3 linked regions of the Coturnix japonica genome follow. The protein of the gene in region 1 interacts with the protein of each later gene in a pairwise test. Links are inferred from orthologs where the notes say so. Each region holds a gene or a part of one and is shown on either strand. Other genes may lie near its edges.

Region 1 (3,755 bases):
AGTCCAACCACCCACCTACCACCAATATTCTTCCACTAACCCACGTCCCTTAGTACAACACCTGAATGTTTCTTGAATACCTCCATGGACAGTGACTCCACCACCTCCCTGGGCAGCTCATTCCCATGCCTGACCACTCTTTCAGAGAAAAAATTGTTCCTAATATTCAACCTCAATCTCCCCCGGCACAACTTGAGACAGTTCCCTCACCCTATCACCAGTTACACCAATCTCCATTCAAGCAGTTGTAGAGAGAGCTGAAGTCTCCCCCGAGCCTCTTCTTCTCCAGACAGAACAATCTCACTTCCCTCAGCCATTTCTCACAAGACTTGCGCTCCAGACACCTCAACAGATTTGTTGCCCTTCTCTGGACACACTCCAAGGCTTCAGTGTTTTTCTTGTGGTGAATGGCCCAAAACTGAACAAAGTACTCAACGTGCAGCCTCACCAGAGCTGAGTACAGGGGTACAATCACTTCCCTGCTCCTGCTGGCAACACTATTTCTTACACAAGCCAGGATGCCATTGGCCTTCTTGGCCACCTGGGTGCACTGCTGGCTCATGTTTAGCTAAGCACCAACCAACACCCCCAAGGCAATTTTCTTTACACTTTTAAAGGATACGATGTTTGCAATTTCAGAAGCTGGCAGAACAAAACCTCTAAATTGTTGTAAACATCAGAAGCGTTGGCTGGCGCAGTAAGGCCAAACGCCTGAGACTGCGGTGGCCCCACAAATGGCCAACGAAGCTGGGTCAGCACTTCTTCAAAGTCACTGCAACACAAAACACACACTTTACCACCAAGCTACGGCACAACATGAAATGAGGGAGTGATGAGTCGTCCTGTACCTTGACAACTTGTCCTTAAGAATTTTATGCCAAAATTTAACAGTGGATCTCACAAACGAAAGAAGATGAGAACAAGATGACTCCTGAAGTTTAATATCCAGTTCTGCCATAGACGCTAGAGTACTGGCTGCCTCCGGAACATTGTTGGTCATCAGATACTGCTGAATGTTATCACTATGAACACAAGAACATAAATACAAGAAGAGTTGAGACAAAAATTCACTAAAGATAACACAAAAGAACCATCATATTGAGAAACTGGCAGAAAACATGCTCAATCTGAAATACTTTAACGAGGTTACCACTCCCATCACATACATCCTACAGCAAGGATTCACGAAACAAGTTCTTTGTGTGAAGTTCCTTAAGTTGCCTGTCACCGAGACCTGAAGGCAGAAGGAAAGAAGGGAGGCCCGAAGTTCTTTGAAGCACTGCTCTTTATGGAACTTGTTCAAAGATCTGCTTTTCCTCACGCTTCCCAGGAGGAAAACTGGAAGCAAATTTCAGACTGCAGCACACCTGTCACATTTTCATAGCTCAGACCAAGTTGTTTCATAACTTAAGTCTCTCTGTACAAAATCTGACCCAAAGGAATCTTCCAATTTCTGACATTCTTTACAAGCATTACACAAAGTTTTCCACTGAAGGAAGCTACAAATCACATTAACTAAAACAGCACTGTTCATTCCCATTACGATAAAATCAGTGTACCAGAATGAAAACTCAGAATCACGAAGTCTGAAGCGTAACATTTCCGCTCAAGATATTCCAGTATTATTTTAGTTCTTACACCATAATTTACAGTGGGTGAAAGAGTTCCATCCACATATCGACACAGTTACTGTTCTCTTCCTTAAGCCAGAGCAATAACTTCCAGTTCTCACCAGAGAACACGTTAACAGTTTATATGGCCAGATGACAACTTGCTGCTCTCGTTTATTCCTTAAATGTGATTATTTAACACTGAATCTTTGAAGAAGCTGTGTGATACCACTAGTAAGAACTCTCCATAAGTACATCGGCTTTACCTTAACTCTTCTATTTGGGAAATCCATTTCAGATAGGCCAGGTGATGCTCAATCTCCTCCACCTGGCTGATCAGCACCCCGAGATCCTCCATCCACGGCTCAGCTTTCTCTAAGTGGCTGCTGATGGAATCGGACAGGAGAGTTTCTTCCTCTAGAAGCCGATTCAGAGATTGTTTTGAGTCCTCTGCATTCTTTAAGGCGTTCTGAATTCTTTTAGGGACTTCGGATGAAACCGTGAGAACCTGCATTTACAGACATGCATTAAGCCTCACACAGAAAAATCACACGGAGAATGAGCACAGACACTTACCTGTTCTTCCAGCTGCCTCTTGTTTTCAGACAGCTTCTCAATGAGGCTGCCCAGCTTCTTCAGAGAATCATAGTCATTCCCAACTTCTCTTTCCACAAATTCTGAAACGTAGTACGGGATATCGCAGCGATCCGGATCTCTGACGACTTCTTTCTTCGGCACATTAACGGCTGCCATGCCTTCTTTTTTTCCGCAATGTTATTTACGTAATTTCTACTTGGTTACCACTAAGGGAACACGACCAACTACCGACCTACTGAGGACACGGGGCTCCTGGGAACGCAGGGCGATTCCTCTTCACCTGAACATTAAACGAGGCCTTTAATAGCCATGCCGGCCTTTAAAACGAGGCCTTTAATAGCAATATCAAACCGCCGGCCCCGCAGCCCCTCGCTCCCCGCCCCGCCGCGTCAGCACAGCGCGGCCCAAGGCCGCACACATCACAGCCGGGGCGGGCCCAGAGGCGCATGCGCACCCGCCTCCCCCTCAGCCACCCCCATGGCCGCGCCCGCCCCTTCCACACAGCTCCCCCATAACCCCACCTCAGGGAGCACAGAGCCGGGAGCACCTTCCGTTCACGGCGTTTTATTCACACAAGCAGCACGAATTCCCTATTTGGTTTAGAATCGTTTAAAATGCAGCTTCGTTCTGCCTCCCAGCAGCAGGCTGGCTCAGCCAGGGACAGAGCGAGGCGCTACGGACTGACACACCGTTGTGTTTGGTTAACTATTCCCAGTACCTTGTCTTGGTGAAGCTGAAAATGCACACATTTTCCCCGGAAGAAGCTCGTGTTTAATTAAAACAGCTGTGCCCTGTGGCAGCACACAGCCAGCCCGGCTGACCGCAGCAGCTTCTTGGAAGCAAACAGCCATCAGTACCTTCACTCAGCTCTAATTTTCCTAATGCTGTACTTTAATATAGAGATCTCAAGGTGTGCTGAACTGATAAAAACATTCACTGCTCGCTGAAACAGAGCGAGACGAACATGTGCCCAGGTCAGAAGCCATAAGCCTGCTTCTCAGAGATGCAGCAACACAGCTCAAGCGACCTCATGGTCCATTCGTTACAAAGCACCAGTCACTAAGGCCCGTATTACATTACAACCGGCATCTTGCTAATAACTACTTAATTTAACTGCTTGCACTAATAAAAACTTAAAAAATACAAATCTCTCACTGCCACCCTTCAAAGATTTGTACAGAACGTAAGTAGGAAAACACTTTGTACATGTTAAAATCTAGGCCGTGCCAGCAGTTCACTCAGCGTAACCAGGTAGTGTTCAGCTGCGTTTGGTTTTTAATGCTTGTGTCCATCTTCAGAACTTCTCGGATCGCCATAGTGGCGTAAGTGGATGGCGGAAGGGAGAACTCCATCTTCAGTGCCCGGAATTTACCATCTATCGTAAAGAGGAGAGACAAAGCAAAAAGAAAGTAAAGAACATAAATAATGCTTACTCTGAGTGCCATCCAAACCGGACCAAAGTTTTCCACCGCCATCCCTGATCTCATACAACAGCCTCGACCACCACACCCCAGTCTACAATCCATAGTGTAAAGCAGAATGTTGTAA
Region 2 (2,474 bases), on another chromosome or scaffold:
TAGAATTCAAAGTCAATGTGTGTATTCTTTACACAAGTAATAGGATTTCTCCCTCCTTCTAAGAATATACGTGATAATCTTAGTGGTCTTCTCCAACCTAAATGATTCTATGATTTTGTATTTATACATACTCTATATATGTCCCTTATTTATTAATGATATGACTTACAAACTCTGTAACCAGCAGACTGTGTGAAATGCTGCCATTCATTTTGTCCTCACACATGGCTGGGTGTGTTGCTCTGCTTCAGCTGAGAATTCTGGCACATGCTGTGAGGGAGACACATACATGGTGCCTTTGCTAGGGGCTCCTTTTAATAGAAAATATCATACTGATCTCAGCAGGAAATCTCAATCTGTTTCAGAAAAGAACAGTCCAGAACATAGAATTTTCTGTAACGGCAGAGTACCTGTAAGGTCTTAGCATGTATCCTGAAACCCAGCAGGAGTGATTTCATGAATACAGAAATATGTGAGCTTGAAAGAATGTCAAATGTGGCAGCAATGAATGCAGACAGTAGAATATTAAATGGTAGCTATGTCATAATGTGGCAACTTTTTCCTGTGAACGACAATAGCAACAGCTGAAGATAGAGGTGCTGAAAGGTAATGTCTGTTGCTGGTATAAGAGCAAGTATTAGCATCACACAATTTTATGCTATGATCTGGTGAACCTTTACTCTGTTTGAAGCTGCTCAGTGTTTCAGGTTAACGTCATTAATCACAGAAGCCAATTACCTTAGAAATAAGTGAAGACCTTGGACTTTCTACCTCAGTTTTTGGTATTTCAAAGATCTGAGTTCTGCTCAGCAGCTTTCTATGTGACCTCTATGTATCTTCGCAGTCGTACGACTAATGAGGCAATGCACTGATGCCGTGTTCCTGTTTTGACTATTTTTTTCCCCACCTCTCCAGCAAAAGAACTCTAATTGCTTCTTTGCTGTTGTTGTTTTAGGCTCTTTGGCCAAGATGGCCTCTGTGCTTCATGTGACAAACGGATCCGGGCTTATGAGATGACCATGCGGGTGAAGGACAAAGTATATCACCTTGAATGCTTCAAATGCGCGGCCTGCCAGAAACACTTCTGTGTTGGGGACAGATACCTCCTCATCAACTCGGACATAGTATGTGAACAGGACATCTATGAGTGGACTAAGATAAATGGAATGATATAGCAAAGAGGTGGCTCATGATCTATAAAAGACATCTCACGGGCGATGCAGGCACGTAGCTGCAGTGAGGAGATACCACCTGAGCTATGTGCTTTGTCTAAAAAAGGGGGGAAATACCACAGAGTAGGCCCTTTTCAGGCAGTGCTACGTAGAATCTAAGCTACATATAAATGAAGAAGGGAGACTGAAGCAATATTAGATAGACTGACTTCTGGCGTATCGACAATAACTGACATCAACCAGATAGGCAAGAGCTGGGGAGCAAACACAATGTGATAATGAATGCTCATAACTGGAAAAACAGTAGTGACTTGTGTAAAGAGATGTTATGACTTTGTCACCCGCAGACTAGGATTGTGCAATTGATTTTTCTTTTCAACTTGTTTTAGTTACTCAGTTTAGACAACTGCTCCTAATGTAGACATGAAGAGGAATGCTGGAAAAACAAAGGGCCAGTCCCTTATGTGGTCATTTGATAAGGCCTTATGTTTTGGGTTAGGAGAGAATGGGGGAAGAGGGTAGGGGTTATTTTTGCATGGATTCTTTTTTTCTGTGAGAATGAAGAGTGCATCCTCTAGTCCCAAACTGTTCTTCAAAAAAGTCCTGCTGAATAGTTGTTTTCAGGCACTGCTGTTTCAAGATGAGATGTTCCATAGATCATTTCTATACAAATATAAATTGAAAGAGTTGTTCAACTATTTTATTAACTTAGATTATATCGATAAAATATTTGTTGTGTGTAGTCAGACTCTGCAGCTTTAATAAAAATGACAGAAGATTTGAGTGTTATTATTTCTTTCTTGGACATCATACCAGATACTTTGTTTGCATCATTTCTTTTATTTTTTGTAGCGGGATTTCTGCACTTGGACTACAGCTAATTGCTGAATTCACTTAAGGTTGTGTTTCAAAGCAGCAACAGGAGAACACCTGTCAGCCTCAAGAAGCTTTATGGAGTTCTTCATATTAAGAAACAATGCGGTAGTATTGTGTGACATGGACCCTTTGGTGCTAATAAGGATGTTTTGAGGTTGGATGATGCCATGAAGTACATTTGGGTGATACTTTGTAGCATAAGAATAAGCTGCCTGATTAGAGGAGGTCATGCAGGGTTAGGTTCTGATTTTGCTCCAGATCAATGAAATGAGTATAATATAACCTGAGCCAGTAAAAATTGACTAATGTTTAGAAAGATTTCTGTTTAAAGCCCTAAAAGCTCTGAGCTTTGCCTTCAGGCTCCAGTGCTTAATGCCAACTTGGACCCACTCTCCATGAGTTCGCCTCGTCTCTTTCTGGCTCTTA
Region 3 (3,655 bases), on another chromosome or scaffold:
GGCAGACTGGGGAGTAATATGGGGAGATATTCCATGTTATTTCTGTTTTGCCCTTCTTTCTCTGTCATAACCCGCAGTAAAGTAAGAGGTTCTTTGAAATCAAAGGGATTCACAACTGAGAATGGAATCCCTAGTTTTTCAAAACTAGCTAAAAAGCAGGACTAAAACTAGCCTGGGACAAAGCACTGAACACATCATTTCTTTCACAGATGAAGGGAGGACACAGGAGAAATTCAAGAGAAGAGACTACAGTCCAGCTGAAGGCAATACCACAAAGCCATGTACCACAAAGCCATGCATGCTCAGAGAAGACGTTGCAGAAATCTGATGAGAATGAGCCTGAATGGCAAGAATCCTGTAAGATCTTAGGATGATCTTTTGTAAGAACTTTTCCTATAGGGCTTGAGAAATCTTAGAGCTCTGAGTGGTCATTTCAGTCATTCTCCTGCAAAACTGGAACTCAGTATTTCTCAGTTAGTAGGTAGAGAGTACTGTCAAAAAACACAGAGATGCAGCATCAGAAAATTTTCCGAGTCCACACAGCATTGAAACTAGAGCTGGGCAGTGAGATGGCAAATTTATCCTACAGAAAATTCTCCACTTGTAAATATTTCCCATTTTCAGTCTCTTCTGTATTTCGATTAAAGAGCTTTTGTTTTTAATTGAAAGATAATAGATTTAAATATTAAGCAATGTCAAGCAGAATGAGTCTTGCTGGCATTTGACAGCCCTCAGATACCATATGAAAATGATAGGACCCACATGAGCGTAGCCAGGGTAATTAATTTTAAACTAGAAGTAGGCCCTTGGCAGAAACTTGAAGTAGATGTTGCTCATGTGGAAAAGAATAATAGGTAGTGAGGACAAACTAAAAGGCATAATTTCAAAAGCACCTGGTTGATAGCAAACTTTTCAGACATCAGAAATGAGTGGGGAGGGCTTTTGCCACTTACTTAATTCTGTGCAGAAGATCCTGAGGCCTGAGTAAGGCTCCTTCTTACACAACAGAACTGTATTGTGGTGAGGTAAGCTGATCTGAGACCTCAGAAATAATGTGAAAGATGAAAAAAAGTATTGCATAAAACACAAAAAAGGGGCCACTCCAAATCTCCCTGCTTTCTACCTTCCCTTCCTTGAGGTAGGACTTGATGATCTTGGAAGTCTTTTCCAACCTAAGCAATTCTATGATTCCCTGCGAGGCACAGTCCTCTCATCTGGTTCCATTTCAGACACAAAAAAATCTCATTGATCCAGAGCCCTGCCACACATTGCTAATGTAAAGATTTAAACAACTGGATCAGAAATGACAAAACAGTGTAAGACTTACATTAACGTCTACCACTGCTGCCAAGTATGTCCTGAACTCTCTACTTAAGTTATTACGATGACTACATTTCCTTCTAGGATCTCTCATAGTAACCACATACCTCAAAGGTGATTTTTCAGTGTAGCCTGAGTTGAAAAGATATTTCAAACTTGACTCCTTTTGAGGGAATCTTGCTGTGCAGCTTTCTCAGAGACTGGAACAAAGGGTCACAAGCTTAGTACACAGAAGATATTGAGATACACCCTGACACTCTGTTTGCCTTTGTTTCCATCCAGGTTCACGTTCTGCTCCTCACATCTTCCTTTCCTGGGGAGAAAGAAAACTGAAGTCAAACTTGATGCTTTTTTTTCCCTCACTGTTCAGTAGATGGCAATACTGTACTATCATTTGTCTCCACTTTAGGCCAAACCTTTTTTGTTTCTAATTAAAAAATTGAATTTGATTACAAAAGCACAGAAATCACTAAGCATAGCTCAGGCTGGAGAGCCAGTTACTCAACAAAAACAAACAAACAATAATATCCAGCTAAGTTCTCTACTCCACAAAACAGTTACAGCAACACTCCCTTCTCTTTGCAAGGCCCATCAGGATTTTCAAATCCTTTAGAGGATTCATTAGTGGTCGTTTCAGCAATTTTTTTGCCTCCCCGGTCTCCTGGAAATAGAAACAAATGTTTTTGTTCATGTATTGCTGTGGCTTTTCCAACATTATCTTACCACATGCAGTGTAAGATCTCTCTAACTCCTGATCTTATCAAAATTGCAAGGACTGCCTCAGTGCACAAATTAAAATGAAAGGCTGAAGGGCCCTTTGCTTCTCCCATCCTCCTTTCTCCCACCCCTCCAGCTTTTCAAGAAAGACATAATGGTACAATTTGTAATTGAGTGAGGATTTTAATTTGACAAAGTAATTGTGCTTCCCTCCTCCCCCCCCCCCCTCCCAAATTTCATTCCAAAAAGTCTGTGGGCCAGCTGAAAACATTTATTTACCTGATTGGATAACTGTTCCTTCTTGCTCAGGTCTCCGCTCACACAAAAGGCATCACAGAAATTTATGACTGAACCAAGTCACATGAAACAAAACCAAGTCATTTCTAAGTACAAAGTTAGAACCCAGATTTTTATCTGTTGAAGGAATAAGAATTGGGTTCTTTTAAAACAGTAGATGCCCAAAAGTGATGGGAGAGAGGTAACAAACGTTGTTACAGATAAGTGAATCTTTCATTCAGTGGCCAGAGTAGCTGAGTCACTCAAGGCTTGCGAGGAAGATAAATGACTTCCAATACAAGCAACCTAAGATGCCTGCTTGGAAATAGAGGAGAGGAAGTACCTTAGTTCCAAAGCTCTCTCCCTCCACAGTAACACTGTTTGTTCCTAGTGCTGGGACACAGAGAGAACCTAAATGCTCCGAAATGCGTTATTTCTCACCTCCAGCTATCAGAGAGATGGCTAAGCAGCAGCAAGCTCAGAACTTGCCTGCTTGTTCACTCCAGTATGACTGCTTTTCTGTTCCAGTGCGGAAATCCAAGGCAGCAGATGAGAAGAGACGCTCCCTCGCACGACAGGCCAGAGATGACTACAGGAGGCTTTCACTGCAGGGAGCCCACAGAGGGAAGCAGGCAGACATATCCAAGAACGCCACAGCAGGAGATCGGCGACCGCTCCAATACCCTCCTCTCCCACCCAAGCCTAAACTTCTACCTCCTGTGACGACGAATGGCAGAGCAGTTAGGTGAGAAAAATGTGCACTGTTGAAGGGAAGGGAAAGGGGATGAGATACTTCTGCTCTGGCAAGGGCTGGTTGAGATGAAGATGCCTGTTCTCTTCATACAGAGGAAACACTCTACTGGGAAAAATAAGAAGGCTAAACTATATTCCAGCATAGGGTATGAAGACTGTGGCACTAAAAACAAAGACAATGGCACATTTACTGAGTACCAGCATCACAAGATTTGCATTGCTTGCTTTTGCCCAACTGAGAGAAATGTCCCTAAATCATGAGAGCTGCTAATCAGCAAGCCCTCAGGTCCAACACCTCAACTATCTCAGTTGCTCCTAGTCACCATTCTCTTAGCTCTGCCTTTCTTAGCCATCTCTCCAAACACCCAGCCTCTCAATTATACTGAGCTCGTAGAGGTACAAGGCATTTTCCAACAGTCAAGTTCTCTTTTTGCCATATGTGAAAGTCAGATTCAGTGACAAGTTTATATAACAGAACACCCTAAGCCTAAAATATGTAGTACGTCCTCTTTGATAGGTGTCCACTGAAAACCATACAATTTTGTTCATAGCTGCATTACTGTAAGCCTTCTATTTAGCATTGTTCCTA

Evidence for each region.
Region 2: the proteins of RINT1 (region 1) and LMO2 interact in binary tests that used the Homo sapiens proteins (3 or more experiments, as listed by UniProt). The two-hybrid records come from large-scale screens. The link is inferred for Coturnix japonica from reciprocal best matches to the Homo sapiens genes RINT1 and LMO2.
Region 3: the proteins of RINT1 (region 1) and SH2D4A interact in binary tests that used the Homo sapiens proteins (3 or more experiments, as listed by UniProt). The two-hybrid records come from large-scale screens. The link is inferred for Coturnix japonica from reciprocal best matches to the Homo sapiens genes RINT1 and SH2D4A.

What each region holds. Positions count from the first base shown.
Region 1 is NC_029516.1:12,589,269-12,593,023, reverse strand, and holds the start of RINT1 (RAD50-interacting protein 1), read right to left. Parts: upstream 2,525-3,755; 5' UTR 2,364-2,524; coding exon 2,187-2,363; intron 2,119-2,186; coding exon 1,877-2,118; intron 1,023-1,876; coding exon 849-1,022; intron 773-848; coding exon 623-772; intron 1-622. Other genes in the region: PUS7 (pseudouridylate synthase 7 homolog), read right to left, coding at 3,446-3,582. UniProt on the Homo sapiens protein: Involved in regulation of membrane traffic between the Golgi and the endoplasmic reticulum (ER); the function is proposed to depend on its association in the NRZ complex which is believed to play a role in SNARE assembly at the ER.
Region 2 is NC_029520.1:6,404,834-6,407,307, forward strand, and holds the end of LMO2 (rhombotin-2), read left to right. Parts: intron 1-955; coding exon 956-1,175; 3' UTR 1,176-1,950; downstream 1,951-2,474. UniProt on the Homo sapiens protein: Acts with TAL1/SCL to regulate red blood cell development. Also acts with LDB1 to maintain erythroid precursors in an immature state.
Region 3 is NC_029519.1:30,066,451-30,070,105, forward strand, and holds part of SH2D4A (SH2 domain-containing protein 4A), read left to right. Parts: intron 1-209; coding exon 210-357; intron 358-2,841; coding exon 2,842-3,058; intron 3,059-3,655. UniProt on the Homo sapiens protein: Inhibits estrogen-induced cell proliferation by competing with PLCG for binding to ESR1, blocking the effect of estrogen on PLCG and repressing estrogen-induced proliferation. May play a role in T-cell development and function.